4 linked regions of the Arabidopsis thaliana genome follow. The protein of the gene in region 2 interacts with the protein of the main gene of each other region in a pairwise test. Each region holds a gene or a part of one and is shown on either strand. Other genes may lie near its edges.

Region 1 (6,872 bases), on a different chromosome or scaffold from region 2:
GCCTTCGTGGCACTTGTTTACTTTCCTATTGGCTATTTGGTTATATTCATTGCACCTCTTCTACATTTTCTCTAAGAAAACATTATATTATCATATTAAGAAATAAATACTAAAAACATCATGCTGGTATTGTTTTTCTTTGATTTGAAATAGGTTTTATACCCTATAATATATAGTTGTACTATATACCGTATCTCATTTGAACTTAAAATCAAATATGATATTTAGATAACTAGTTGACATTTCTAAAGGATAACCAAAATAAAATAAAACGAAAGTATTACCTGTTTCATTACCCACACGTTGACCGTTATACAAACAGTTATAGATAATATATCATCATAATTAAAGGTCAACATTTCATGATTTATTAAGTAGTTTATATAACATTTTGCAATGAGAAACCCGACAATTTATAGTATGGCGCCAAGATTACGAAATCTCAAATACCTATCTTTTAATGGGAGAGTTTTAAAATCGAAAAACGAATATTTGATGAGAGTTTTATTTTATTTTTTGAGTCGTGCATTACAAATATCACTGTGAAAAATGTTGATCGATTTACATAAGAATCATAATCGTCCATTGGATATATAGACAATGTGATTTAGAAGGTTATATATTTGTTTGTCTAAAGAAAAAATAATATCTTCAATTATATGACACAGTTTACAATTCAGCATAGAAAACAATACAATAAGCTACAAAGGATTGTTTTAAATAGATTTTAAAACACCATATTATCATCTTTAAATTTTGGCTTCTTGAGATGGTCTGGATAAATAGAAAATTATTAAAATAAAAAACATTGTTAACTACTAATTTTATATTAAAAATACATTTATGGAATGCTTAAAGGAAAATGGGGAAATATATATAGACAGTAATACTAGAAACCAATCTGTTGGTCAAATATTTAGAGCCAGTATCCAAAGGGATTGAATGTATATTAGTATATATAAGATATCATAAATTCATAGAGAATACAAAATTCACAATTCTTAATACAAAATACTTACCTATATGAAACTTTTCAATTTTAATGCTATGAGCTTGTGCAATTTAAAAGGCTCTTATATCTAGCATATACTAATATAATGCAAAAACAAAAATGGTAAACTAAGTATTTTTATTCTATTCTAAAGAATGTCAAATTGTATGCTTTTAAATGTTTAAACAAAAATCATGGAAATTTGGTATTTTGTAAGAAATTGAAAGCGCCACAATTCTGAGCTATTTTAAGGAATTCTTCAATAATTTTGTTTTTTTAGCATTATCATATATGTATCAGAATTAATTAGTGAGTACTGGCAACATTTTTTCCCTTTTCTTTCATACTCTGCCAGCTTTTGTATTTAAAACTATGATATTTTTTTCTATATCATATTATGTGATTTGTTTACATTTTCAAAGCAAAATGTAATAATTTCTATATATTTTATGACAATGTGCATTTTTTACTTTATTTTTATTGGTTGGACTGTGATTAGATAAATCATAAAATATCTTTTGATTTAGTAAAATAAAGAAAATCATTAATTTCTTAATATGGAAAAATTTAAACGTTTTTATTTTGATACAAAGAGAGTAATTATTTTGTAAGTCTTTGGGCATGATAAGTTTTTAGTATTCAGGACTTGGTAGAACTACAAGAATCTCATTTAAATTCCATTGTAAAAACTAATTGATAAAACTAATACAAGTAAATTAGTATAAATAGGTTGTATTTTGTTTTTTTTAAAGTATAAATAGATCGTACGGAACTACTTACTGTTTTACTATTTGTTTATCTAGACCGATATATTTAGATACAGCTCCCCATGAAATTAAATGCATTAACAAATTTTAAAATTCAAACATACGCACCAATTAATTTAAAGCTATTATTTAAATATTTTATAAAAAAAAAATTACATGCTACGATTTTATACCATTAAAATAGTAAATTTACGTGCCTTAGAAAATGTCTATATTTGGTACTTGATTCCTATTTGTTTTCAAAAATACTCGCTTTATGTTTAGGGGTTATATTTTTCCCGCTTAAGCATACATCTACATTTGATATTTTTCTTATAGTAGACATGATTATATTTTTTATATTGATATTAATAATTTTAGGCTATCAAACAAAAAATAATTTAGGCAGAAATAACCATTTTATGGGCATGTTAATTTTTCTTTTTTTTAAAAGAAGTGACTATATATTTAAATAAAGAATCTGAACTAGAAATGGAATGAAACTCAAAGGAGATAAATAAGAAATTTTTACCATATCCTTACACAAAGAAATGTGTCGTTTAGCATGGTTTTTACAGGCCTATTATCACCACCCTTTCGCAGTCTCTTCTTATTTAATGCTCATAATATATATAGATACACAAACATACATACATACATGTCTCTATCTCTTCTCTCTCTCTGAAGGTCCCAATAGCTTCTTTGGTTTGAATTTGGTGGCCGAAGCAACACAAAGGTCTCAAGAGTTTTCTGGGTATATTCTCTTCTTCCTTCGATTTCTCTTTATTTTTGTTTTTGTTTTGTTTTGCTTTTACGTATATTGTCTGCTTGCAAATATTGTTTTTTGACTTGTTGGGTTTGGTCTATCTGATATTTTGTCCGATGGGTTCCATTTTCACTTTTGCAAGATCAAGTATTTCAGTAGTAATACGGACTGGATTGTTTTGTCGTTATATGCTTTGATAAGAATCAAAAGAAAGAAAAAGATCGATGCTTTTACTGTATAATCATTTGATGATAAACCATTAATCTTGTTTGTGATTTTCTTTTACCTTCTCTAAATATTTCTCCTATATTATGTACTTAATCTCTTTGGTAGTAGTTTTCCTATAGTATTTATTCAATCCCTTGGGAGTAATAACTAATGGAATTTGGATCTCTAAATCTTTGTGTTATTCATATGATGAATCTTATTTCACAAGTTAGATCTCTCGATCTTTCACTAAAAGTCTCTGTTTTTTTCTTTTGTGTTATGTTATTGCTAGAGAGTTTTAATTTAGATTTTGATAAATACGGCATTACTAAATGACGATGATTATGCAATTTTATTCTTAAAGTGAATCATAGTTGATGACATTATTTGCAGATTCTATGGATATGTATAACAACAATATAGGGATGTTCCGGAGTTTAGTTTGTAGCTCGGCGCCTCCATTTACAGAGGGACATATGTGTTCTGATTCGCATACGGCTTTGTGCGATGATCTGAGTAGTGATGAGGAAATGGAAATAGAGGAGCTTGAGAAGAAGATCTGGAGAGACAAGCAGCGTTTAAAGCGGCTCAAGGAAATGGCGAAGAACGGTCTAGGAACAAGATTGTTGTTGAAGCAGCAACATGATGATTTTCCAGAGCACTCTAGTAAGAGAACCATGTACAAGGCACAAGATGGGATCTTGAAGTACATGTCGAAGACAATGGAGCGATATAAAGCTCAAGGTTTTGTTTATGGGATTGTGTTAGAGAATGGGAAAACGGTAGCGGGATCTTCTGATAATCTCCGTGAATGGTGGAAAGACAAAGTGAGGTTTGATAGGAACGGCCCAGCTGCTATAATCAAGCACCAAAGGGATATCAATCTTTCTGATGGAAGTGATTCAGGGTCTGAGGTTGGGGATTCTACCGCACAGAAGTTGCTTGAGCTTCAAGATACTACTCTTGGAGCTCTGTTATCGGCTCTGTTTCCTCACTGCAACCCTCCTCAGAGGCGGTTTCCGTTGGAGAAAGGCGTGACACCGCCATGGTGGCCAACGGGGAAAGAAGATTGGTGGGATCAACTGTCTTTACCCGTTGATTTTCGAGGTGTTCCGCCACCTTACAAGAAGCCTCATGATCTCAAGAAGCTGTGGAAAATTGGTGTTTTGATTGGTGTAATCAGACATATGGCTTCTGACATTAGCAACATACCCAATCTCGTGAGACGGTCTAGAAGTTTGCAGGAGAAAATGACGTCAAGAGAAGGCGCTTTATGGCTCGCTGCTCTTTACCGAGAAAAGGCTATTGTTGATCAAATAGCCATGTCTAGAGAAAACAACAACACTTCTAACTTTCTTGTTCCTGCAACCGGTGGAGACCCAGATGTTTTGTTTCCTGAATCTACAGACTATGATGTTGAACTGATTGGTGGCACTCATCGGACCAATCAGCAGTATCCTGAATTTGAAAACAACTACAACTGTGTTTACAAGAGAAAGTTTGAAGAAGATTTTGGGATGCCAATGCATCCAACACTCCTAACATGTGAGAACAGTCTCTGTCCTTATAGCCAACCACATATGGGATTTCTTGACAGGAACTTAAGAGAGAATCACCAAATGACTTGTCCTTATAAAGTCACTTCCTTCTACCAACCAACTAAACCCTATGGTATGACGGGTTTAATGGTTCCTTGTCCGGATTATAACGGGATGCAGCAGCAGGTTCAGAGCTTTCAAGACCAGTTTAATCATCCCAACGATCTCTACAGACCAAAAGCTCCACAAAGAGGCAACGATGACTTGGTTGAGGATTTGAATCCTTCTCCTTCGACGCTGAATCAGAATCTTGGTTTAGTCTTACCTACTGACTTCAATGGAGGTGAGGAAACAGTAGGAACAGAGAACAATCTGCATAATCAAGGGCAAGAGTTGCCCACATCTTGGATTCAGTAAAGAAAGCTTCAGAGTTTTCTTTTTATGTTTTCTAGTCTTTATAGCTTTGTCTCTTGCTTATTCTCTCATTAAACACAGTTTTTGATCTCTCCATTTCATAGCCCATGTAGCAATGGAGAAGATTAGGTTTCATAATAAGTTAATAACCAAATTCAAAGTAATTCATTATGTGATTTGAAGAGCCTCTCTTTTTGACAAAAGAACAGTAGAAAATGCTTTATTTGTTTAGACTTTAGAGGTGTGTATTTGTGTTCGCCTTGGGCTTCAAGGAAGAAGGCGTTTGTAGACATTTTTAATATTAAATAATTTAAACTTTGTTGGTATGATAATATTTTTATTTATGTCTTTTTATTATGTCTTTTTATAGGGAATTGTTTTCTATAAATAACAGATTTTTTATGTGTTAAATTAATTTTGTGCCTTTAAAAGAGATTAATGGTTAAAAGATGTATTTCTATATAAATCTCAAATTGAAAAATCAAATAAACTAAGTTTGACGATATGCTATTTTAAAGTTAATATGAATAATTTCAGAAATATTTAAATGATATTTCGCATATTAAATTCATAAAATAAAACTATGTGAAGACCTTACTATATAAAACTATACCTTTTTCGGCAAATCAAATACTTATATTATAAAGAGTTTACAAGAAATATAAATATTTCCAATACAACCGTTGATACAAATAAAGAAAATCGAAACAATTGATTATAAAAGAAAAAAATTCAATGTATTGCTATAATTCACTATAATGATCATATTTACTTTTTTGAATCTAATGTTAAATTATATTCAAAAAAAAAATGTTCGTTGTACAATTTAGTGGTTCGTGAGTTTGAAAATAAATTTTAAAAAGATCTAAAAGAGTAAAAAAAAAAACGCTTGTAAAAGAGCAGCTTGGTTTGGTGACCTCAGGAGCTTAAACTCTAGCAAGGATCCATGCTTGATACGCTTTGTCGTACCGTCTATCTCCTCTTGTTCGAATGGTGGAAATATGAATACAAATTTGTTTATAAATCCATTTTGTGATAAGAGCCCCCGGATGTGGTTCCTTTTTGTGCCTTCTTCCATTCCTCTCCTTTCAAATTGTATAGACAGTGGTTTGTAGAGCATAGCGAGACAGATAGCTCTCCGCTCTACTTTGCTTTGGTTCGATACATAATCCAAGACTTGAGCCCAGTCGGTTCTGTACTGATTTTGAAGATGCCCTTTGTTATTGCCTCCCATATCGTCTCCCATATAATGATCACATCACTCATCTACAAATTTGTATTTATTCAAATGATCAAATCCTTACCGGTTTTTTCTTACCACTATTCCATTCCATGCTAGGATTGGCTGCATCCTCTCATTTCAGTCAAGTTAAGCTCTTTTGTCTATTACTTTATTTCATTCATTTTCTTCTTCAATATTTTTTTTTTTTTTTTTTTTTTTCTTCTTCAATTTTTTTTCTTGGCAAAAATGTTTTACATTGACCAATTTTTACATTCCGTATATTCTATTAAAACTTTCCATTCAAGGTTCCTCCAATTTCTTTCTCCATCTGTACTAATGGAAAATTTAATAGATAATCAACAAAATAATATATACTCATTAAATAATTGTTATTAAAAGAATCTCCAAAATGATATTTGGACGATATTCATGCAATCACGTCCTAATCTCCAAATATGCACTTTCTTTATCTTATAATAAAATGATTTACTCCAAATCCTTACTGTCACCAAATCAAAACCTTCATTTCATCTGCTTCGCATTATTTCTCTGATTCAAGAAAAATGACGGTCGAGAAACCACAAGAAATGACCGGCGATACAAACTCCGACGGATTCCTAACTAACAAAGACGTTCACAGAATAAAGCATCCATCGCTAGATACCAACGATAGTTCCTCCAGCCGATACTCCGTCGATTCTCAGAAATCAAGAATAGGACCACCGCCTGGGACTTACGTCATCAAACTCCCTAAGGATCAGATCTACCGTGTTCCTCCACCGGAAAATGCTCACCGTTACGAGTATCTCTCTCGCCGGAAAACAAACAAATCGTGTTGCCGGCGATGTTTATGCTATTCCCTCTCTGCTTTACTCATCATTATCGTCCTCGCAGCGATTGCCTTCGGATTCTTCTACCTCGTTTACCAGCCGCATAAGCCACAGTTCTCCGTGAGTGGAGTCTCCGTCACCGGAATCAACCTGACGTC
Region 2 (7,981 bases):
ATATAAGAATCTATCTCTGGGTAAGGGGCCAAAAGAAGAAAGCTATTTAAAAAAGATATGGGGGAGCTCCACCGATTTCATGAGAGATCCACCTAACCCTTTTTTTGGGTCCCCTTTCTCTCTTATCTCCTTCGACATCTCTCTTAATCGGAATCTCTTTCGTTGACGGTGAACATGATGAACACGTGGCCGTTTTTTATGGTCCGTAATTTTTGCTGTCTTTTTTTTTTTTGCTTTTTTTTTACCTGTGTATAATGATTGGGTATCTTGTCAAACCGGTGAAATTTTTAATTTAAACCAATCAATCTAGTGGCTTTTTTAATCGGTTTCATATATTGGTTCGCAGAAGCGGTTTAGCAAAATGATTGGGTTTTCACTTTTGAGGGTTTATTGAATTGACTAAGAAGAAAAATTCCAAAACATAATTTAAAATTTAGTTATGTGAAAACTTCGAATACCAAACTTTATAGATTAACTAAGGATATGATGTTTATGTACGGTTAGTTTTGACATATTTAAACTTTATCACTTAAACTAGTTCTTAAAAAGTTTTAGTGAATTAATTTCTTAAATTTAGTAAAAACAATCAACATTTTTCAAAAACTAATTATAAGTATTACAAACACCAAAGCTTACGGATCAACTAAATATGAGATATCTATGTGCGGTTAGTTTCAACGTGATTAAAATTTACCATTTAAACTAATTTTCAAAAAGTTTTAAATGAACTGATTTTTTAAAGTTTAAGTGTTAAATTACGTGAAAACTTTCCAAACTTCGAACACCAAAACTTACGGACCAACTAAGTACGAGATGCTTAGGCGCAATTAGTTTTCAACGTGTTTAAAATTTACCACTTAAACTAAGATTTAATTTTATTTTTTTAAACAAGTGTTCAATACCTAAATAATTTGTAAACCATATTAAACCTAAAACACCACCTACATGTTTGAATCTTGTATTCAATTAGATTACACAAAATTAAAAAAAAAAAATTATCCCAAAAAAACATTAAAGGTTTAATAGTAATGTAAAAATATAAGTCTAAAAACATTTTTTAATAAATGAAAAACAAGTGTTAAAAACTTAAATAATATGTAAACCATATATTAAACCTATAAATGAAACCTTAAAACCTTAAAGATCTAATAGTAGTATAAAAATATAAGTTTAAAAGCATTTTTAATAAAAGCAAAACAAGTGTTAAAAAGTTAAATAATGTGTAAACCATATATTGAATCTAGAACAGTTTTTAGGGGTTTGGATGATGTATCCAATTAGTTTACACAAAAATTAAAAATTTAACACTTATCCAAATAAAAAAAAACCTAAAGATTTAATAGTAATATGAAAATATATAAGTTTAAAAATATTTTTAACGAAAGCAAAACAAGTGTTAAAAAGTTGAATAATGTGTAAACTATATATTAAACCTAGAACACCTCTTAGGGGTTTGGATGATGTATCCAATTAGATTACACAAAATTTAAAAATTTAACACTTATCCAAATAAAAATACCTTAAAGATTTAATAGTAATATGAAAATATGTAAGTTTAAAAACATTTTTAATAAAAGCAAAACAAGTGTTAAAAAGTTAAATAATGTGTAAACCATATATTGAACCTGGCACACCTCCTAGGGGTTTGGATGATGTATCCAATTAGTTTACACAAAATTTAAAAATTTAACACTTATCTATATAAAAAAAATCTAAAGTTATAATAAAATATAGGTGTAAAAACATTTTACACTTAAACTAATGAAAATATATAAACATTTTAGTTATATAAATGTTATGGTGAAACTAATTAGTTTTACTTAAAAATAATTTTGAAGGTAAATAAAACAAAAAAAAAAAGAATGAAAAAAGTAATACCTTGTTGGATTTAGTAGCAAAAAGGGCCCATAGAGCAAAGCCCATTCCAAAGTCAGATTTGAGCCCGTCGGTCTTTGGTAGCCCTCTCGTGACATCATCCACCACCATAAAGCTCTCCCCTCTCTTGGCTATATCCTCCTCTTTGTAGTCTCCTCTTTGAAGACAAAATTGTCTTGAGAAGAGAACTAGGGTTGAAGAATAAGAAGAAGCGAGAGATAGAGAGTTTTGATTTGTCGAATGTTTTAGAAGAAGCGTTGAGACTCTCACTAATTATTTATTTATAAGCAAAGAAAAGGAAACTGATAATCACAATTAACGGTCACAAAATCTTAGTTTAACGGTCACAAAAAAAGATTTCTTTGTTGATTTTTCTTTCGATAGCTTTTGTTTCCTTTTTTTGTTTCTCTGACTGTGAGAGAATTAATGTGATGAGTTTTAATACATAGACTATAGCAATGGTATATAAATCAAGTTTTATAGAATCTGTTTCTTGTTGGTATGTATCGAGAGAGAAGCGGCCTGGATATGATCACAACAAGAAATATTTCTCAACTTAACGAAATTGGAATTACTGTTTTAGCTTAGCCTGATCATTTGCAGACATATATACAAAAGTTGCCCCAGTATCTCATATTAGCTGAGAAGAAGAAGCCAATCAAATACATAAAAAAAAAAAGCACACTAAAGATTGCAAAAGCTAAATAAGTTTCTGTTATAAAATCAACAAAAGAAATCAGAGGAAAAACTGAAAGAGCTCTTCATGATTTTGTAGACGCGTCTGAATTCACGGTTCGCACGAACTGGCCTTTCACTCGAGGACGTTGTTCTGCTAGCTTCTTCCTGCTCTGGTACCGAACCTGTAATCCATTTTTATACATCTCCATTGAATCAGTTTGATCTTGTATTTGTTTCAGATGCTGTTTTTATGATGAAGCTTGTGTGTCTCTTACCTTTTTGTCAAAGCATCGATCTTTCCTCTTCAACCGGAACTTCATCAATGCAGCTTCTCTCTGGCTTCTACTCCAACGTTGTTTCGCACTTTCTTCTTCCTTTGGTTTCTCTGTGCTACTGCTTTGTCCAGCAATCCCCTCATTGGTGCTTTGAGAACCAGCTTCTACTTCCTTGCTAGCTGCTTTCTCGCGATTTGATTCTACCGGTATGGGTGAATCTTGCTTCTGATTCGTTACTGTGGACTGAAGAACTTGGTTACGGAAGCTTACGCTTGATGATCCGATATTCTCCTGGTTGCTGCTCGTTGTGGCGCTTCCTTGATCAGATGTTACTTTTCTTAACTTTTCATGTGATTCGGTTGGTGTCTTTGGCTCACCTGAAGTACTCTCCTCTAAAGCAACGACGGCTTTTTCTGCTGACTTGCTTTCCTCAAATCTGCAAGTTAAGTAGAGTTATTGATTAAAAACACTAATTACAAGATTTGAGGCATTCTTTATTCAAGCAAGGAAACATGCATACCTTGAGAAGGCCGACGCATCAGAGAGGCTAAGCTTTTGATGCTTGCTTTCATCTTGGTTCTCAAAACTTACAGAGCAAGATCTTTTCAGAGAAAGTCCAAGCTCAGGACCAACACACTCATCTCGACTCTTGTCTTTATAAATACTATCAGGACGCTTGTCAATTCCACCAATCAAATCCATTGTCACATCAAAAGTTTCCTTAAACTCGTCTCTTTCATCCACTGATTTGCCATTCTCCATCAGCTTATTGTGACCATTGTAATTGATAGCCTGCATAAGCATGTACACGATATTAGCTTCTACTAAAATGAGATAAACATGAGATATACAATGCAATCTCAAGATGAAAATCTCACAACTCATACAAAACACAATTCAGAAGGACCAGAACATATATTATGTAAAACTCAGATGGTAATATTTATTATACCTGAGCACCACTTCCTTGATCTGAATGATATCTGGAATCTTCACAAGTTTCATCAGTATCTTCAAGGTTGTGCTGTGAAGCTGGTAAGCTTTGAGCATGAGCAGTAGGATCATCACGCAACTGATCCATAACCAAAAAAGACAATAAGTCTTTCAAGTTTCAAACTTCAACACAAGGAAACCTCAAAAAAGGAAATAAAAAATTTACAGTCAGTCTTCTCCAAACATGTTGCCATAGATTTTTCAACTCGTTTTTCCTCATTGGTTTGATTAGATAATCAGCAGCACCTCTCAGCATACACTTCAACACCATTTTTATCGAATCTTGAGAAGACATCACTATTCATTTCAAACAAACAACAAAAGCATAAGAACCAAAAAACTAACAAAGAGGCGTTTTTAGAGGTATAAAGGACTTAGGGGATCACCATCGTACTTATGACAGGAATGTTCTTGCAAGCTTCATGCTCCATTACCAAAGCAAGCAGAGCAAAACCAGATATAGATGGCAAATCCAGCTCTGTTAGTATAAGATCAATGTTATGTGACTTCTCCTTTAGAACCTCCCACGCAGCTAAACCATCAGAAACAGCTACAACTGTATTCAATCAAAAAGCATGAACCGAGTTTAATTTCAAACATCAAAACATAAAAATGAAAACTTTAACATAAGCTAATGAAAGGAAAGACCAATCGACCTTTGTAACAGCATTTACGAAGAAGGGCAGTGATGATTTGACGAGTTGAGTAATCAGATTCAACTAACAAAACCCTAAGTACAGTTTTAGGCAAATACTTCTCCCACTGAACAACTTCCGATGACTTTACTCTGTTCTTTATAGTCTCCATACCATCATCACTACTTAAAACCACAATCTCCCCCATAGACTCAGACCTCAAAACAAACTGAATCACAACACTTGGTAAAACCAACAAAGCCTAAAACACACAAAAATAGAAACAAGAATCTAGATCAACGAGCTTTAGATCTTAATCTACCGAGAAATATTGTTTCAGACTGAATAAAAGAGAGAGAGAAAATATCAGATGTTGAAGTAAAGAAGAAGGAAGAAGAAAGTTAAACTCTTTAGTTTGGTATCTTTCGATCACAACCACGAAAATATCTTCTCAGAGAAAGAAGAAGACTTTGTTGTATAAGCTCAGAGCAAATAAACAATTTGAGAAATCTAATTAACGGTGTGTAACAAAGCGGGCCTTCACTGAGCTGACGTGGCTTAATATGAGCCATTGTTTTGATTTTCTCTGTATCGCGGCTGATTCGGTGGAGGTGGTCCTCTGCTTCGCAGGTCCACCTTAACACGTGTCATTAACCTAATCGCTCTACGGAAGTGGAGATATTCGTCTGAATATCTAGTGGTCATGTGGATGACACGTGGGTTTCTATTGTAATTGTGTGGCTAAGTTTGATTTTTGGTTGGATTTAATAAATTCTAAAAGGTAGATTTTTTTTTTTCAGCTGCTCTATGTATCATTCAAATTGGATGGCTTTTTTTGTTCCTTTTTTCAAAAAAGTTAATTATATTAAATGTTATTAAATTTTCAATTGGGATTTAACAAATAGTATTATTTTCAAATATTAAATGCCCACTAGTTTTAATTAAATCAAATTTCGTTAGTGGCCGCGTAAATTTCGACTCCAAATGAAAAATTGGATTTTCTTGAATATAAAAATTTTCTGTGGATAAGAAGGAATTCTAGAACCATCTTAATAAAACTTTGCTTTGCGTGGAAAGAATATCTATCGATCTATGATGTGGACAGTGCGTAATAAACAACTTACCATATTCTTGCGTGTTTACATATCTAAGGCTTTAAGCTTTCTATGGCCAACTTACTTACACATATAAAAATTAATGGGCTTTATAAGAATTTAAGCCTTAGATTTTCAAAAGCCCATAACTTATGTATTCTCTATGTTTTGTTTGTTTGGTTTTTATTATAAAATTGTTAAAAGAATAGTAGAAGTGAAATATTATCCATTGACGAAGAAAAAGATCCGTTTGATTCCAACGGTCTTTTGACCGGTACTTTTGTCTTCATAAGATCCCCTTTGGAATCCAAAGACAATAATCATTTTACTCTCAGAAAATGATCATACGAATTCAAAATAATTATCAAAAAGGTTCAATCTTTTTATGATTATAAAACACGAGAAAACTCCAGGTGAAAGTGATCGATGAACGGATTCTTGGTTGATCAAACATTTTATAATCATAATAAACGAACAAATATAGTAAGAAGAAGCAATGTGATTGAATTATAACAATTTCAAGAATTACAAATGTAAAAGAAATGATTTTAAGCTTATCCGAAGCTTAAAAATCCTGTTTAGGTTCAAAAGAAGACATAAAACATTTCTTTTGAACCTGAAAAATAAAATTCCCCAAATGAATGTAATAATCTGATGATGCTTTCTGCACCAATCCAAGTTTTCTTAAGAATCTAAAAGAAAGCCACCAATGCTTTCTCTTGATTCTTTTACCTAAAATGCAATTTGAAACAACAACAAAAAAAAAGAAAGAATGTGATGATGGTTTCTTCTTCTTCTTCCTCCTCCTAAGTACTAATTAAGATTCTAGAATCCTAAAAACGATGGATGAATGAATGTTTCTAGAACGTTGTTGGAGAGATTTGATGATGAGTTAGTGTACAATGAAGTTTGTCCCTTCTTCTGGCTATTGTAGTAGTTCTGAATCAACCCTCTATCTTGATGGTTGATGTTGTCATTGCTTCATTACCATCTTTGCTGCTAGCTTCAGTTTCTGCTTTCTTTGTTGCTGTAGTTATAACTACTGTTTTTGTTGCTGTTGTTGCAGCTAATACAAAACAAAACAAAGAATCAAGCATGATTCAAAACAATGTGACAAATGGTTTTCAATGTAGATTGTGTTGTGAAATCAAACCTGAGGTGGAAGTTGAAGAGGACGGTGATGATGATGAAGGTAAAGATAGAGCCAGAGAGGTTGGGAGGGAGAGGATTGGAGGAGGAGGTTGCTGAGAGCTAAATTGCTGCTGAGAACTGAAGTGTGGCTGGTGAGGCAAGTAAGGATATTGCAGCAGAGGAGGAGCAGGAGGAGCAGTGTATTGAAAGCTGAAACCTTGGTGATGTTGAGCTTGAACTTGAGCTTGAGCTTGATTGCTACTTTGTGCTGCATTGTATTGAGGATAGTAGGGATAAAAACCATGGAACATTCCTGTTGATCCTGCTGATGGATGTCCCATATATGGTGAAAACTGTTGTCCTCCATAGAGATGATGATTGTAGTAGTTCTGCAAACAAACAAAAAACACAAACATAAGAACTTCAAAGATTTATCAGTGAAATGGAAACGACTCTACAAATTTATAAAATGAACTTACCATTGGGTACATTCCCTCTTGAGAATAACCAGAAAACCTGCAGAAGAAGAAAACACAAGCATTTTAAGTTTTGCTTACACACACACACGCACACTAATCAGAATGGATTGTTATTTAATGTGATGATTATGTATTCTTACCCGTAAGTAGAGTAAGGAAATGGGAATTGAGCAGTGTGTTGTTGTTGTTGTTGATGAACAAAAGCAGAGGAAGAAGAAGAGCCTCGAAACTGAGGAGAAGGAGCAACTAATCCAACTCCTGATCCTGGTGATCTGAATCTACCTGTTCCTGGAAATCAAGTTTCCACCAAGAATCGTAAAACAACACTCTTGACTTCTTCACGTGTTGATCAAGTAAAAAGATCAGATTTTTCCAATCACCCTAAAGCTAGTTCCCATTGGAATTAAGAGAGGAGAGAGAGAGAGAGATTCAAACCATGTCGAGGAGAAGTAGGAGGACGAGGTTTTTGAGCACCAAGACAAGCAAGATTGCAATTAGCTCTTCTTCCATCAATCACAGGATTCATGTTCTGACAAGCTCTCATCGCTGCTTCAGCTTCCTTAAACGTGACCTAATCAAATAAAAAAACTGATTTTTTCAGAGAAAAAGAGAAACTTTATCATCAAAGAAACGAAAAAGAGAGAGAGAAGAAGGAACATACAAATCCATATCCTTTAGATCTTCCAGTGTTCTTATCAGTAATGACAACAGCTTCAACGATTTCACCAAACTGTTCAAAGTAACGTCTCATTGTATCTCTCTGAGTCTCCCAAGCTAATCCTCCAACAAAGATTTTCGTCAACTTGGTATCTGTTGTATTA
Region 3 (7,585 bases), on a different chromosome or scaffold from region 2:
CATTTTGTTTATAAAGTTTACAAAATACTAATCGAAATAGAGCTTTTCACATTCTCCTTCTTCTTTTTCTTACGTTTATAATATAGTTTTTATAAGAATTATGAGTCCTTTATTTGAGATATTTGTCTTTATTTATATATATATATATATATATATATTGGAAGCCTTAATTTGTCTATTCGATCTTTGAATGTTGAAAAGAACTACAACTCTCCGGCATAATATTGTTTGGTGGGTCAACGATGCACATTTCTTGTGTCTTGACTTTGAAGCAAAGCATATGTGGCAATGTGGCATGGCTTCGCCGCTATTGCAACATTTTAATATCAACCATATATTTTATCATTTACATTTGTTCGAATCCTGACTCATTTTTGAATTCTGCAGTAAAACAATTGACACATTGAATCCAAGTAGGTTATACAGTATTTGTTCAACCATTTTAAAAATATTTACAAGTTAACATCATCATTTCCTAAACGGGGAAAAAGGGACTTGGTCGTTCGTTGTAGTTGTTGAGCACTTTAGAACGATTAGCAACGAATCAGAATATTTTTTATACTACTTTCAAACTATATAAATTACCGTTTAGATAATTTAAAACATAAATAGTCCATTTTACTTATTGAAAAACATAAAACTATCCTATTTTACCAAATTCTCTTTATTTTTTTTGTTAAGAATTTTTTTTAGGTCTTTTTGACCATTAACAAAATTATATTAAAAATATCCTTTAGCTAATTTAAAAATATAGTTCTGACCTATTCCACAAAATTCTCTTTATTTTTCAGTTAAGCAAATCTTTAAATATTTTGACGTCGAAACGTATTCTAGTTTATCTTATCAGGAGTGAGGGAATCAAAAACAACCATGCATCTCGATGGAAATCTCTCCTATGTATCCCTCACGTCTTAAAAAATTACGGATTATTGTTAACACGAGTAAATTAAAGGATTCATCAACATATGTAATCCTTGAATAATATGTAATCAACTAATAAAAAAATATTAGCTTATAATGTTACTGAACCCACAAACTAAAAACTCATCTTTCTGCACATTTTTTAACCGGAAACTACAGAATGAATAATTATTTTTTTACAATCTAATATTTTCAAATAAATTTTGTTATTAAGTTTCATAAAAATAGATCACATACGGTCTATATTTTTTAAAAAGTTTCTAATTATAATAAAAATGAGTTTGGATATATTTTAAAAACTTATGTATAATATCATTTTGATAATTTCACTTTCATATATTGTCAACCAATCAATATTTTCTCACTAATCTATATCAACCATGTTTTAACTACTCAATAACAACCGTTGTATAATCGTTGATATTTGTGAATTATGTGACTCTAATTGATTAAAACTATATAGCCTTAAGTCTTTTGTTGTACAAGCTAGGCCATTGATTGTTGGTCTTGACTCTTGACTCTTGAGTCTTGACCATGACTTATCTATAAAAGAGTGTAAAATCTGATTATTATTGTAATTGTTAACTTGCTGTACAGATTTACAACGTATGATAGCGTTATGGTCTCACTAGCCCAACAAAAATTATTAATTTGTAATGTGGGCTCTCCGTTTACGTGCATTGGGCCTTTCAGTAACATAGAAAGCCAGAAAGCCTATTTGTTATTATTATTCGATTTTTTCTTTCAAGTTTCAACATCTTGGATCATTTTTTTGGTGCAACATATTTTTTTTCCATCAAATGGTGCAACATATTTAGTTGTATAATGGACGTGTTTAAGATTCTTCATAAGATGCTAAATATTACCAAATGACTAATCCAGAATAACTATGTAATTGATTGCTTGATCGTAAGTAAACCCCTTTGTCCAAAAAAAAACCATGGAAGTAAACCCAATTTTTATTTCAGATCATTAGAAATCACTAATTTCCACGTTTTTGATAAAAAAAAAGCTCCATCGAATGAGAATGACACTTGATAAAAAACCAAATTGTATACATCGACTTCGAGCATGTCAAATCTCCAATCTCCAAAGAAAAGTACAAGTCTTAAAATCTCAAATCAATTATTCTTAAGACTTCAATTTATTTTCTGTCAACATCTTAAGAATTCAATTAACAAAAAAACAAAAACATCTTAGAATTCATTTTAATTTGTTGAAAAAACAAAAACAAAATGAATATGCACGTTCAATTCAATGTATATCCATAATTCTGTTCACTAAAACGAAACTAATAAAATCCAAAAGCAGCTACAGTCTGAAGTTGAGAGATGGCTTGACACAAAAGAACACACCACTATATACTCTTTATATCAAAGATGGAACTAGTTGAAAATTTTGGCAAGACTTGTAATATACGCAAAGGTTGCTTTAAGAAAATTAGATCAAATATTAAATATTATAAAAGAAATGGTTTAAGAACCAACGCAATTAGAGCGGTGATAATTTGTCCTACTGTTATCATCAACCAAACCCATTAACCTCTCTATCTTGCATTATGTGTTTTTGTTCACATAACTTTTAAAGAAAACTTTACTGATATAATGCAAAAAGAGGATAAGCCTAAACCCTAACTCTATAGGTAGTGATTGCAGAGAACAAACGGTTTATCTAGTTATCTTCATGTCTGACTGAATCAACCCGAAAGAAACAGCAATCAAACATTGGTAACAATGACTTAACAAGAGCAGAGGACGAAACCATCAACAATGTATGTAGCACAAAACAAATAAAGTAGGTCTCACATATGTATCAATAACTCAACAGGCAAAACTTACAAAGATTGAGAGAGCTTACGAATTAGAAAACATCTAAAGGCTTTTCAAAGACAATCCTCATATAGAAAAAAACCCTAAATGAGAAACAATTGCCTTCAAAAAAAACCACCTGAGATTTACAATTTCGATCACACCTCTCTATCTTCTCCACAACATCAAAACCATTATGTCAACAAAACTTTCTTTAGTAACACCAACACACAAAACTGCATCTGCTTCTATCTTTAGGGTTTTTGCTTCCCTTGAGATTAACTGCCTCTGCTATACTTTAATAACTTAAGACAAAACCGAGTAACAACGAGCTTTTTACGTTGCTCCTATAGCTAATAATAACACCTAGCTGCAAAACTTATGGGCACGCGATATTAAGAGGAGTGGGAGTAGTTGTTGCGATATGATCAACGAAAGCATACTTGTCAATGGTGGTTCCAATGAGACCAAGATCGATCTCCACATCTGAGAAATCATAGTCTGGAAGTTCGCTTGGACCGTCACATTCAAGACCAATGATGTCCAGATCATCTATGCCACAGTAATCATCCAACATTTGGTTGTTGTTCTCTTCTGTTAAGAGAAAATCAAGCTCACAAGCATTTGGGATGAATGAGTCATCAATGAAGCAACCCATTTCAGGAATCTGTAGATCTGCAAAGTCGAAATCAAAACTCGCTTTCTTCGATTCACCAGCTTGTTGATCAAGAGTCGAATCAACTAGCTTCTTGTCAAGATCAATGCTTGACCCTGAGGCTGAGATCATAGAACCAGACTCATTTGACAAAACAGAGGAAGCAGCAGAAGTGGCTGCAGCCAGAGCATCAAACTCAAGCTTCTTGGTAGCATAAGCATCAGCTGCTTGTTCAAGCGTCTCGTAAGTACCCAACCAAGTTCTTACTTTGGTGATTGGATGTCTAATCTCAGCAGCCCATTTACCCCATTTCCTCTGCCTAACACCAACAGGCTTCGAGACAGTAGTAGAAGAACGTCCAACGACCGGAGATGCTTTGCTGCGTAAAACCTTTTTGCTACAAGCTGAGATTTTAGTCTTGCTTACACCATTATTGTTACTCTCCTGACAATATGAGCTTTCAGATTCTGCTTGAGTAGCAGCTTGAGCGAAAGGAAGATCGATCTCACAGACATAACGTTTCCTTCTCTGACTCCTTTCTTCTTCTTCGCTTGATGAGTAGTCAGTAGCGTAAGGATCATTCACAACGAAACGGAGTTTTCTCATAGTCTTCAAATCTTCAGATAAACCTGGGAGGTGATTTAGCTGAAAAGGTTTCTTCTTCATGGGTTTTTTGTTGGGTTTATTGGTTTGAATAGAAGAGCGTTTCTTTCGTTCAGCCATTTTATCGAACACTTGGTGTGCGAAATTCAAAACCAAACCCCCTTAAACCCTAAAAAACCTCTCAAAATTCCCAGAAAAGCCTCAAAATGAACTCTCTCAAGAACAAGAAAAGTCCTTTACCCCAGAACAAGTCCTGTTTCAATAACCAGCAAAAACACAACAACCCACTTCAGATTCGAACAGAGAAACTATAAAAACCATTCAAAGTAACAAACTTTAGCAAACCCAGTTACCTTTTAGGTCTTAAACGCATGGAAATCGATGAAACTGTGAGAAATCAATCACTGAGAGAGCTAGTAGATGTAGCTTGATGAACGAGAAAAACAGAGCAGAAAGCGATTAAGAAGACGAAGAAGGAAGAAGAAGAGAGAGAAGCGTAGAGTCAAAGACAGAGCTCCGGTTAAACAAATTATTCCGGCGACTTCAAAGATCCTTTTCTCTCTCACACTCCTCTCAGCTCTTCGAGCTTCCCAAAAGTGAAAAAGAAAAGTGAGAAGATAAAAGATTCAAAAAGAGGAAGAAGAAGAAGAAGAAGAAGATAAAGTAAAGAATCAAAACGAATCGAAAACAGATGACAAATCTATGGCCAAGATTTTTCTGCCTCTCTATTACCAAAGACAAAACTTTTAATTTATGTCGGAAAAATAAAAGAAAGTTATGTAACTGGTAAATTTAAGAGACCGAGGAATTTAAAAAGATGTTAAAAATCTTTTAAGAAACGATTGTTCAAACACAGATCTCAATAAAAATTTATTAAAGCATTAAAAGAAAGAAAAAAAACGAAGATGGGAAATTAAATTCGTTTTTTATTAGCATTTGGTTTTTTTTTTTTGGACAGTTTTATTTCATTTTTTCGGTTAAGATTGGTGAAAATAGTTTTACAATAGGGATAAGGAAAATGTTTTTTAAATTATCACTTTATCATTTTCGTTGGTTTAAAGTATGAATTTTGGATCTTGTGAATTAAATTCTTAATTTGATGTTGATTTTCAATTTAATTACAAATTCTCGTTGACTAAGCCAATTGAGACACAATTTTTTTTCCCGGTATCGTCAATCGACCTAAAGATGAAAGATTACTTTGAATTCGAATAAGAAGAGAAATTCCAAAGAAGATAAGAGATTCTGAAGAAAAATAGAGAAAAACTCAAAAATTTTAATTAGAAAATTTTTTAACGATGTGTCTTAATTGGCTTAGTTAACGAGAATTCGTGATTAAATTAAACGTCAACATAAAATTGAGGATTTAAATCACCAAATCGAGAGTTTATGTTTTAAACCAACGAAAATGGTAAAGTGATGATTTAAATGACATTTTTCCCTTTTACAATATGGTAATAAAACATACTATTTTTGGAATTATATTATGGATATATGGTAAATAAATTTAGTTTGTGAAAGGAATAATACTTTGTATCGAACAAGTTATTATTGTATTGTAATACATTATTCATGAAATTTACTTCTCACTGTTACTGCACTGTGGGTCTTTTAGCTAAGTGAAGTAATAGAATTTTATTTTATTAATAGTATTAAACTACAATAACATATATATTCGTTTTTTAATTAAAAATAAATAAAAGAGAGTGACTAGTAACTACTCCTTCATTGTTTAGTGAATTATTCATATTATTTGATGTGATGTATACTTGTATTCTATAGTAATTTAACTCATTCTCCCAAATTGACTCTTAAACAAAAACATCAATTATAGATTCTGATAATTTTTTCGGCATTCAACAAAAATATCTTACAAAAGATCGACGAGTATAATTCAATACCATTAATTAACATAACAATTTGTGAGGTTAATTAATTACATTAGAGGTAGTTTACTTTGCAGTATCTTGATTGTGCTAAAGAAGAACAATTTCGAACGTGGAGGATTGTTCCATCCCCACATTTGCTAGTTGCTACCAACCGAGGGACTTTTCATCATAATTTACAAGTCTTCTTCCCATCTTTAGTGGGTATAAATAAATACAATTTTTTTTTTTTTTTTTTTTGTGCACCAAATAAATACAATGTTAATGAGAATAATTCACAACTCAAAACGTTTTTGAATAACTCTGTTTTATTTTTTCCACACTCAAGCATTTCATGAAGTCAATGGTCTCTTTTTGGGTCAACTAAGTCAGTGCTTAAGTTAAGTTACTCTGTAATATTCCGTAACATAACATGATCATGATCACTCTAATAACTTGCAAAATCATTTAAGTTCGGTCCGATTTGAACCGATCAATTTAAACTTGTATTTTAGAGGTTAAGCTCATCCATTATTTGATATCTTACACCATGAACGAACATTTGGTTAACCTAAAGAACACAAAATAAAATAAAAATTTCTAACATTTTTTGCTCGATTCTATTTGGTTTCGGTCCTAATAGTTTTGAAACAACTTAAAACAGGTCGCTTCCAGATTAATCCAAAAAGTTAACATCTCTAGATTAAAATTTATATATCAACTTCAAATTTTATGATTTTTTTGTAAGGTTCATTACGATTCGATCGATTAAAAATTTAAAACATTTTTTACTAAAGAAATACCAAAAAAATATTGAAAGTGTCATTTTCTTTCAATTCCATAAAACGAAAGGAACTCCTAATTTCCAAAATTTTGTTTATTCCACAGCTTTTTTAACATATCGCTCGCATTGCCACATTGGTCCAGACCTACTCCCCTTTTTATTTACAAGATTGCCACTTTAAAGAGTTGGATAATTAATTTAGTTTAAACTAAACATTTTTCTGCAACAATATAGTAGGAAAACAAAAAGCTAGAAGAAAAAAGAAAACAGTGAACGCACGCCTGAATGCATGTGATTGCCTACCCTACGTGAAGAAAAGACGATGCAATTACAGAAGTAAGAAAAACATTTTCTCCACCAATATACAATGACCCTTACTAATTATTACTATTTCAACAAAACGTTTCCTACGTAAGGAAGGCAACAGATTCATTTGATGTCATTTTTCAACGACAATAGACAAAAAAAAAGTAAAGCAATAATAAAGTAAAGTTGTACACTACATATATACTTTTTAAAAATTGTTGAAACACAAAATGTGTGCAAATTTATAACAGTGTATACAAAATGGATGTTCAACTACGTCAAAGACTATTCATGAAGAAAAACGGTCGTGACAAAATTTAGACAAATTAACAATATATTAAATAAAAACTTTTAAAATAATTTTAGTATTACAGAAACATTATTAGATAAATTCGCAATATTTTTGTTCTATTGAAAGAAAAACAAAAAAGAAAGAGTAAGGGATCATTACATTGATTTCACACATACAAGTGTCGGATTATCAGTGTCACGTGGTGTTTAAAATGTAGACATTTCACCATGTGGACTAATACATTCATAAATAATGCAGCCATCGACGACGACCATCAAGCAATTTTTATATGTGGAAAGTTTTTTCAAAAATTATTAGTAAGTGGACACGTCAGACAAAACAGAGAGTTGA
Region 4 (9,536 bases), on a different chromosome or scaffold from region 2:
AGCAAAGCTCAGGATCTGAAAGACAGAGCTCAGTACTACGGACAGCAACATACTGGTGGGGAACATGACCGTGACCGTACTCGTGGTGGCCAGCACACTACTTAAGTTACCCCACTGATGTCATCGTCATAGTCCAATAACTCCAATGTCGGGGAGTTAGTTTATGAGGAATAAAGTGTTTAGAATTTGATCAGGGGGAGATAATAAAAGCCGAGTTTGAATCTTTTTGTTATAAGTAATGTTTATGTGTGTTTCTATATGTTGTCAAATGGTACCATGTTTTTTTTCCTCTCTTTTTGTAACTTGCAAGTGTTGTGTTGTACTTTATTTGGCTTCTTTGTAAGTTGGTAACGGTGGTCTATATATGGAAAAGGTCTTGTTTTGTTAAACTTATGTTAGTTAACTGGATTCGTCTTTAACCACAAAAAGTTTTCAATAAGCTACAAATTTAGACACGCAAGCCGATGCAGTCATTAGTACATATATTTATTGCAAGTGATTACATGGCAACCCAAACTTCAAAAACAGTAGGTTGCTCCATTTAGTAACCTGAATTGCCTCCTGATTCTAGTTGATCCCCTTCAGGGGATATAATACATTGGATTTGGAAGTTTGAAGGATCTTTCTGACATTGCAGAACCCAACAAATCACTCCATTGGTCACCTGAATTGCCTCTGATCCTATACCCTTCTTTCACCATCTCCTCTCTCTTCTCTGACTTGTACATGGTCGCTGTTTTGTTCCGATCATCCAACGATCTATTAACATTAAGCAGCAAACCAAAGCGTCAATCATCCATTCAAACCCAAGATTACAATCCAAGATCAAACAACGTCATGTTACCACAACCATGGATCCAGATCAATAGTTGGTTAAAAACTGTATGAGCTACATTGTAATGGAGGTCCAAAAGTAGAGTATGCATACCTCAGAATAAGCTTGTCCCAGTTATGGAAACCGGCATTGCGCAGGTTTTCGACAGTGATAACCCGGTGGTTCTCTCTACGCCCTGTAAGCAAGATAACTTTGTACCCCAAATGTATAACCTTTTGGTAAAGCTTCAAGCTTGGTGCTATAGCAGGTGCTATCCCTTTCTCTACCCACATATCAAACTTTGAATGATCAAAAACTTCCAACCTGCAAATTCCCAAACAGAACAAACATTCACATTTATCATACATAGACAAACAAGCAAAGAAAAAGACAGACAACAACACATACCTCAAATCTTAACTAATTCGACATAGTAAAAAGACAAATCCATCTATACAATTATCAAGGAACCAACTTTTTATAGCAATGTTGTAAAATGAAAGATTTAAGATAAATTACCCACAACCGTGTTCCATGTAATAAGGAAGATTCGACAATAACGTCTCATCAATATCGAAAATCCAAATGTCTTTCCCGTCACCGTTAGATTCGAAGCTGCTCGCGTAAACCTTAGCTTCTTCGGAGACTCTCTCCACATCGACGACGTAACCTTCACCCATCAGGTAATCTTTCACGTAATCGGCGCATTCAGCTGGAATGGTTTTCCATGGAGCGAGATTGTTTGTCTCCGCCGCGAATCTCCAGCTCGTGCAATGTAGATTGACATTGTCGTTTATGTTCTTGAGCTGGGTTTCGAAGATCAATGGTCGCGCAATGAGATACGAGCTGGAGTTTTCATTGGAGAACGCCAGAGGAATCAAGGAGAAGAGAATGAGATTCACGAGAATCCGCATTGTATATCGCCGGAAACGCCGGGAGAAAAAAAGTTGAGATTTTTTCAATTGGGTCTTCAAGAGATTCAGGACATAAGCGAAATCCGAAGAAATATCAAAGAGAAGAGGAGATTTTCCATTCTCTAATGATGAGGAAGTGGATTATAAGAACCCTAGAAACAGTGAAACATTTCCTCTCAAGGTCCTTTTTTCAACGGAGAAATGAGGATTCTCGGAGAAAAGTTTCTGTTTCTTTTTGGGCAATGGAAAGGAAGAGAGACAAAAAAGACCAAAATACCAAAATGAAAAATAAAGGGCAATGGTTTTGTGTTCTTATTTGGAGGCAAATTAACGGATGGATCCGAATATTCGTTTACAAGATGATTAAGGTTTCGTTTCGGTTTATATTTTTGATTCAGCATGTGTGTAGTAGTAGTACAAAGCAAAACGTCTTGCCGTTTATATATCCACAAAAACGCTACACAGTTTGGCTTACTACTATCGTGTAGACCTCCATTCCATGATGGCTGTGTAAAGAGTATAATTGGGTAAAAGGTTCTTGCTATGCAACGGTGAATCCGTCATCGGCGATGTGTTGTGCTCCTTAAGCCACTCCTCTATCGCATGACGGTCGTATGTGTATCCGTCTGCTGCAACGCACGGCTCGTTCATCACGTCCTGCATTATACCACACAAGCTCACACATTTTCACCACAACACACTGAGATGAGATGTTTCAACATTGAACAAGGTTTTATATAGAGTTTACCTTAAGTAATGGGCAGATGAAATGAGTGGGAGGCTGTGTCGATACGCCGGAAAATGAGTTCCTTGCCTTTTCAGCTACTTTCTTTAGGTTTTCGAGCGCTGGAAGAATCTGATCTTTCAAATCAGGTCTATCTTTCCCGCGTAGCTCTGTACAACACAAAGCTAATGCGGCCAATTCCCGGGTTTCTTCAATCGGCCAGTTACCGGCTTTCTGATCTAAGATCTTAAGGAACTCATCATTACTATCCATTGCGCTCTCAACGAAATGTGTCAATGCAATAGCAGGTTTTGCTGTGAGAAGCTGAAGAAGAATCATTCCAAAGGAGTAGATATCTGATTTCGATGATATCCTTCCAGTGCGCTGATATTCCGGATCAATATAGCATAACGTTCCCACGGGGCTTGTTTGTTTGTATATAGTGAATTTAGTTGATAGAGGATCGACTTGAACCATCGTTGAGAGTCCCACGTCTCCAACTTTGCTGACAAAGTTGTGATCAAGTAAGATGTTTGCAGGTTTAAGATCACGGTGAATGATTGGTTTAGGCTTTGATTTGTGGAGGAAGACAAGAGCCGCTGCAACTTCCCAAGCAATCCTAAACCGCTCAAACCACGGGAGTGGCGGACTGTTGTTGACCTGGAAAAGTCTGTCCTCCAAGCTACCGTTTTCCATGTACTCATAAACTAAAGCACCTTGCTCCGGGCACGCTCCTAGAAGGAGAACCAAATGTGGATGCCTAATCTTGCTCAAGATTTCGAGCTGCAAATTAGAGAGGCCAGTGAGATAAATGTAGACTCTTATCCACAAGAATTGAAATTAAAATCAGAAAACTTCCATATAGTGAAAGGCACAAAATCTCAAACAAAGTTCCTTAAACCAAATTTGAGCTCACTTCCATACCTCTTGTTGGAATTGTTTGGAAAGTTGATTTTCAGCTGACTGCAAAACTTTGACAACTGCAGTTGTATGATGCAGATTACACTTGTAAACAGCTCCGTAAGCTCCCATTCCGATCTTCAGTTCTTCTGAGAATGATGAAGTGGCAGCCATAATTTCTTCCCAAGCAAAGTGCTGATATTGCAGCTGAGGAGACCCGAGAGTGCCCTCGAGCTTCTCTTTCTCTTTAGTATCACGTGCGGATTTCCTTTCGGCTTCTCTTCTCTGCGCAATTTCTCTCTCTGCTCTTTCTCTCATGCTCTCTGCATCTCTCCTTGCCTTCTCAAAATTCTGCTTTTCCTTTTCTGCTAACTCTCGAGCTTCATACTCCTTCAGCTTTAGCTCTTCAAGCTTTATGGCTTCTTCTAACCGACGTTGGTTAAGTTCACCAAGCTGAAACATTTTCAGAAAAGCATTGAGCACAATTTAATAAGTTTCATCAAATGCAAAGATATATGATATTATGAGGCCTTCACCTTTCGAGAAGCATCAAAGGTTTCGGTTTGAGCCACAGCATACATTTCTTGAACGTGTCTAAGCTCAGCTCTCAACTTCTCAACCTCAAAGTTTAGGTTTACCTGAACAAATAATCTTATATTATTCCGATTCACAAGACAATGTCGAAATTAAAACTCCATTTTATACCTGGTTGTCTGTATAGGATTGTTCACTTAGAGCATCAGACATGTTGGAAGCTTGTTGAGAAGCCCGAGAGTGTGTAGTATCGACACCCATGCCACTCCAACTAAACCTAGTACCAAAATTCCCGTATTCACGGTTGCTCGAAGAAGAACTCATAGCTTCTTTTCTCTCCTCATAATCTCTACGCCGAGGAGTCCAACGTGATGTAGTATCTGTGCTGCTTCTATTGATACTTGAAACATCTCTAGCTTCCTCTGCATCCAAAGACATGCACCTGGTTTCATCCGAGCCAACAGAACTCGTTTCCATTGGAACTGATGCCTGTCCTGCAATTGCAGGGAAATGTTGCATTCTCCTGACCGGAAGGGATAGAGGACGAGATTGAGAGTCATGCGCACTTGACATTACATCTGATGAATCTAGAAGAGAAAATGGGGTAACAGAATTAGATATACACACCATTTCTAGTAGAGTATTCACACAAATACATTGATGAGTCATGGACCTGAGGTGGGACCAGAAGAACCGCTTGAAGAATTTGTTCTCTCACTACCATCTTCTCTTATAGTAGCATTTCCGTCTGAGTCTGATGGTCGGACGCATGACAATTTACCTTTTGAAACAACATAGACTGTACAAAAGTTTGGCATCAAAGCTGATATCACCGAGCAAATATCAGCTTTCCTGGAATTTTCAAAACAGATTCATTGGTACACGGAATAGAAAGAACAAAGGTCGAAAGCTAGCAGCAGGGTGGTAGTGTACCTTGAGAAAAAACTACGGGATGAGCCTCCAATGACAATTCTGTCTATTGAATCCCGAGTCACTTCTTCAGCTATTGCGGCTGCCACATTATCTGATTCGATCACAAGAACTTCTACTGCAACCTTTCATTAAGGTAATTCAATGAGTTCATGTAACCTTGAAATTTTCATTAAAGAAGAGCGTAAGATATCTCATTATACCAAAGAAAATACCTTTCTCCGCACGAACAGTTTTGTGTAAGGTTTAAGCATTTCTTCAGACTGCCACAGTATTTCCTGTCTATATGCAGTTACTACATCATCTCGTACCTCGGAAATCGGGATTGCATTTCCCACTTGAGAAGGAGCAAGAAATGTACATCAGGCTTTTTATCAGTTACAATAAGTCTTGATTTTGTTTTACACAACAATACCAAATAGAAAAAAGGGAAACACAGGAAGAAGTCCTGAGTACAAGAAAGAAAGAAACAGAAATACAAGGCATAGTTGGAACTTTACTTGGTGTAGGTACAGAAGTAATCATTGGATGGATGTGAAGCAGCTTGAAGCCAACATTTCCTTCAGTAGCAAATTTTTCGATCGCCCATGTAACTACATATTTGCTTTTACTGCTCCCACTTAGAGCCACAACGACGGTACGAGATGGGGGAGGAGGAGGAGGAGGAGGAAGAGCAAGCTTGTCTGGTGATCTACTCATTGTTAATCTTTTGTGTTCTTGTTTCTATTGACCCTGCACACTACAACCATTTCAGACACTGCAAAACAATGTTCTAAAAAGAGTGTTTTGTTCCTAAAGTAGAGATAACATGAAAGAAAGGGAAAGCTAAAACTCTCCAGTCAGTGGGAATCAACAGACAGTAATTATATTTGAACTCACATAGCTGAATGTTGAATATCAACTCATCAAACCGAAAAGGCAAATAATAATAAGTATTGACAGAATCTAACGGAGGTATACCGATCATGAGATACTCTTAATAGCGTTGAAAGTCAAATGTCTCAGAGTCTAATTTGGACGACCAAAAGGATCGTAAAGCAACAACACTCAACGACCATCGAAGCTAACAAATAGCTAGCTTCTTATAAAGATAAAAAAAAAAACTCAAACTTTCCAATAAAAATGTCAACTTTGAGCACAATGCAATTGCAGAGAATTCGAAAGGTTATGAAACATTGATCAAGTCAATCAAAGGGACCATCTTCAGGGCATAGAGTTAAACAAGAAAACCAGAAATTGAACCTACCTGGTAAATAAAGGATGCGACTTTAGTCAAACCCAATACAAAAATTGAGAGAAGAAATGGTGGAAGCTTCCATTTCACAGAGCAATCAATTTCAGAAAATAAAGAGAGCAGCAGAAGAAGAAGATGAAGACCCACGTTGGTGCTGCTAATCTCAGATACAAACAATGGGTTCTTATAACCAGAGAATCTAAAAAAGATTTGAAAAGAAGCATCAAAAATAATAAGAAAATGAGACAAGTTGGTCATGTTAATGGTCAAAGGAGGATCAGTCCTGGGTATATACTCTTTTGTTCTCTCGCCTGAATTTTCTTCATTATCAGAGTGACAGAAGGAGAGTGTGTTCTAAAAGAAAGAAGTTTTCTCCAACCTTAGGCCTTGACTATTAGTTTAATCATAGTTTATCTCTTAATTCCCTAATTATTTGGTATTTAACTACATTCCTCAACGCCATTATTATATCGAGTTTGGCCATAGTTGCACGCATGATCTATGTCTTCCTCACGTCTTTTTGTCTCCTCCCCTTTATGCATAGTGGAGTGGTACAAGACTTTGGTAGAGTTCACCTACAACATTGGTTCGCATTTGAACCGTGATTTGGCCGGTTCAATTTAAACGCCGGTTTACGAGTTTTAACCTCTGGCTGATTAAGTAACCAATTTTGGCAAAATCCAAAGACGAAGGCAAAACTCTCTGGCTGATCAAGAGGATTCGATTAGGCTCTTTGACCTTGTCAACAAAGACCTTTTAGAATAAAAGCATTCAAAGTATCTATAGAAGCTAAAAACATTAAAAGTTACTTATGGAAAACGAATTGGCATGTCATTGTTCCTTGATGATTGATGATAAAAGGTGGAAAAAACTCGAATTTTAAACTTGTCTTGTCTCGACGCTAAAATCTTCATCCCCTGTAGTCATTCATCATGAAATATTCGATCAGGACACATTATTTTCAAATTTCAATTATCTAATATCTCTATAAACTTAAAATCTATTATTATTTTCTTATGTTGATTCTCCTTTTTTCCGTACGAAATGTCTTCCCACTTTCAAATTGGTTTTGGAGTTTTCATGCTCTTGAGTCTAGTATTCGTATTACTATTGTGTATTCTGAATGTAAACGACTAGTGTTCAGGTCAATATATCAATGATTATTTTCTCCATTCTCGTTTTGTTTGATGCAAAAACTAAAGAACAAATTCTGTCAAAAATATAAGAATATATATCAATATTGTGTTGCACTACATAATATTCTTTTTACTATGAATGGCCATCTTTTTTTAAGAAAAAAATGGACGAAAAAGGCAGAGTTTGTCCAATGAAAACTGGATAAATGACATTAGTAAATAGCAAATGACATATAATTTATTTATAACTTATTAATAGGAAATTTGCAAATGGGTATTTTCTTACAATTTGTTTCTTTTGTTGTGTGTGTGGTCAAGATCTTCTTTTAATACATGATCGAGTGTAGAAACTCTAATTATATGGCGATGATGAAATTTGATAGTGGAAGAACTTTTAAATATGATAATTTACAATGTTGAATTAGATACAAATATCTTAATTTATTAATGGCTGAAATGACTTGATTTATTAATTACATAAAGGTTTAAATGCAAAAGTAACCTTTGTGTACACATTTGTTTTGAATAGTTTACAAAGTTACTCTAAAATAATCTGCTTTGTAATATGAAAATATCATTTTTTGGTAAAGAATGATATTGAAAACATGTTTGCAAAACAACAGACTTACCTGTCAGATACATACACACATCAACTTAAACATAGTTTGACCACACTAAAAATGCCTATGTTCGTTGACATTCACGAACAAAAGAAAAACTATTTACCCATAAATTCCGTGAAATTTTTGTCTAACTATGATAAAAATCCATTATTTTGGATTAAAATTCAAATAAAATCCAATTGAAAACGCTACCGAAACTCAAAATGAAAAAGACCTACAAATATGTTTTGGTTTATATAAACCCATACATATGTTACACGGAAAAAAAGAAAACTACTATTACGTACTGGTTTTAGACTTTTAGGTTTTTAACCACATCCAAATTATCCAAATTGAATATGAAATTTTATGATTTGATCTATGTACACCTTTAGTTATAATAAAGCATAGTCTCTTTTTTTTTTATTATGTTTTTATTTCGTTTTTGGAAACTCATATGCTGACGTACCAAATAAATTTGGGATATATAATCCAGTATTGAAACAATTATTATTATAACAACAGTGGAGTAGTATTTTAATGCATTTAATGGAAAAAAAGAAAACAGAGTAAACGGATAAGCGTGTCGTGGAGAAGAAGGACCAAAGCAAAGTAAAGAAAGTCATATATTCCTGAAAATCTATAAAAGACATTTCGCATTTATCCACTTCCTCGATTCAATCAAAACTGCTTCAAGTAAAAAGCCTACGAAATAGCATCGGACCAAAAGACAAACTCACCGAGTAAACATACGCAACCTGTCGTGTAAGTAAAAACAATTTGATAGTGATCTCTCTATGTTTGGTGGAGGAAGAGGGCCTATGGGTGGCGGCGGAGGTATGTTACGCGCCGCCGGTCGTGCGATGACGAGGACCGGTGTAGCCAACGGTGGTATTCAAGATCCCTTTGCTTCTTCATCATCATCGTCCACGTCGTCTCCGGCTGGAAACGCCTCTGTTTCGCATGTCCAGAAACAGAGATCTTCTTCTTCTGGGTCGAATAATCTGACGTATTCCGCGGCTTCTGGGTTGTTGTTGAATCTTCCGGTGGCTGCAACCTCCGGATGGAGCGGCGGCGGTCCTTTTTCCTTTGTTAATTCTGGAGGTTATGATGATTTTGAGTGGGTTTCTGAGGAAGAAGATGATTCTCTGTTTGGCTCTGTTCCTTCTGTTGATGAAGTCCAAGATGCTGTTTCTGCTCTCCAGCAGTAATCTAATTTCTTCTCTTTTCTCATTTCACTTGAAAATGTGTGATTCTTTGGATGTGACTATTTGAGTTTGAGTCTTGTGGAAATTATTGTCATAAAATCTCATAAATTGATCACTTTTGAGTGGTAGGTATTAGTTCCCACGAGTTGTCTAAGTAATAGAGAGAGACACGAGAATTGTTATGGACTGCTATAGTGTCTCAAAGTTTAATTGTTTTCTTTCCTGATATGGATGGAATTGTCTTGATTTGATGATCTTGAAGAAGTTTGAAACTCTTTCAGCTGTGTCTCCGTGACCCCACTCAGTTGTTTTGTACTTAAAATACTTTCAAAAGTTGTTTGCTGGTTTATTCATAATAGTAATTGGTCTTTGTTATCTTATGGATTTCGAAATATTTGTGTTCTGTTTACGTGTTGGAGTAACGGTTTTGTTTTATTTTCTTGAAGGGTTTTCGATGCTAGTTCATATTCCCAGCTGGTTAGAGACAAATACGAGTGCTATCCGGAAAATGGTGGTGGAAACCAGAGCCCTATAGCCACA

What was found.
Region 1: the proteins of PRR9 (region 2) and EIL2 interact in a two-hybrid assay, tested with the Arabidopsis thaliana proteins (one large-scale study listed by BioGRID).
Region 3: the proteins of PRR9 (region 2) and CRF11 interact in a two-hybrid assay, tested with the Arabidopsis thaliana proteins (one large-scale study listed by BioGRID).
Region 4: the proteins of PRR9 (region 2) and AT4G25160 interact in a two-hybrid assay, tested with the Arabidopsis thaliana proteins (one large-scale study listed by BioGRID).

Annotation. Positions count from the first base shown.
Region 1 is NC_003076.8:7,179,521-7,186,392, forward strand, and holds EIL2 (ETHYLENE-INSENSITIVE3-like 2), read left to right. Parts: upstream 1-3,068; 5' UTR 3,069-3,087; coding exon 3,088-4,665; 3' UTR 4,666-4,822; downstream 4,823-6,872. Other genes in the region: AT5G21125 (uncharacterized protein), read right to left, coding at 5,528-5,908; AT5G21130 (Late embryogenesis abundant (LEA) hydroxyproline-rich glycoprotein family), read left to right, coding at 6,448-6,872. UniProt on the Arabidopsis thaliana protein: Probable transcription factor acting as a positive regulator in the ethylene response pathway. Could bind the primary ethylene response element present in the ETHYLENE-RESPONSE-FACTOR1 promoter.
Region 2 is NC_003071.7:19,229,557-19,237,537, reverse strand, and holds PRR9 (pseudo-response regulator 9), read right to left. Parts: upstream 4,932-7,981; 5' UTR 4,665-4,931; coding exon 4,478-4,664; intron 4,378-4,477; coding exon 4,216-4,377; exon of another isoform or gene 4,208-4,215; intron 4,119-4,207; coding exon 3,988-4,118; exon of another isoform or gene 3,910-3,987; coding exon of another isoform or gene 3,901-3,909; coding exon 3,781-3,900; intron 3,621-3,780; coding exon 3,349-3,620; intron 3,265-3,348; coding exon 2,829-3,264; coding exon of another isoform or gene 2,802-2,828; exon of another isoform or gene 2,736-2,801; coding exon 2,637-2,735; 3' UTR 2,359-2,636; downstream 1-2,358. Other genes in the region: AT2G46780 (RNA-binding (RRM/RBD/RNP motifs) family protein), read right to left, coding at 6,495-6,616, 6,704-7,070, 7,161-7,197, 7,301-7,448, 7,596-7,731, 7,822-7,981. UniProt on the Arabidopsis thaliana protein: Transcriptional repressor of CCA1 and LHY, and positive regulator of LWD1 and LWD2 expression. Controls photoperiodic flowering response and temperature compensation. Involved in the positive and negative feedback loops of the circadian clock.
Region 3 is NC_003074.8:9,472,574-9,480,158, reverse strand, and holds CRF11 (Integrase-type DNA-binding superfamily protein), read right to left. Parts: upstream 4,748-7,585; 5' UTR 4,341-4,747; exon of another isoform or gene 4,241-4,340; 5' UTR 4,108-4,240; coding exon 3,109-4,107; 3' UTR 2,569-3,108; downstream 1-2,568.
Region 4 is NC_003075.7:12,901,155-12,910,690, forward strand, and holds AT4G25160 (U-box domain-containing protein kinase family protein), read right to left. Parts: upstream 6,443-9,536; 5' UTR 6,063-6,442; intron 5,549-6,062; 5' UTR 5,516-5,548; coding exon 5,317-5,515; intron 5,154-5,316; coding exon 5,032-5,153; intron 4,942-5,031; coding exon 4,820-4,941; intron 4,739-4,819; coding exon 4,560-4,738; intron 4,474-4,559; coding exon 4,058-4,473; intron 3,991-4,057; coding exon 3,889-3,990; intron 3,806-3,888; coding exon 3,377-3,805; intron 3,236-3,376; coding exon 2,477-3,235; intron 2,386-2,476; coding exon 2,206-2,385; 3' UTR 2,026-2,205; downstream 1-2,025. Other genes in the region: OLEO1 (oleosin 1), read left to right, coding at 1-105; AT4G25150 (HAD superfamily, subfamily IIIB acid phosphatase), read right to left, coding at 582-759, 929-1,138, 1,334-1,728; AT4G25170 (Uncharacterized conserved protein (UCP012943)), read left to right, coding at 8,586-8,995, 9,259-9,303, 9,443-9,536. UniProt on the Arabidopsis thaliana protein: Functions as an E3 ubiquitin ligase.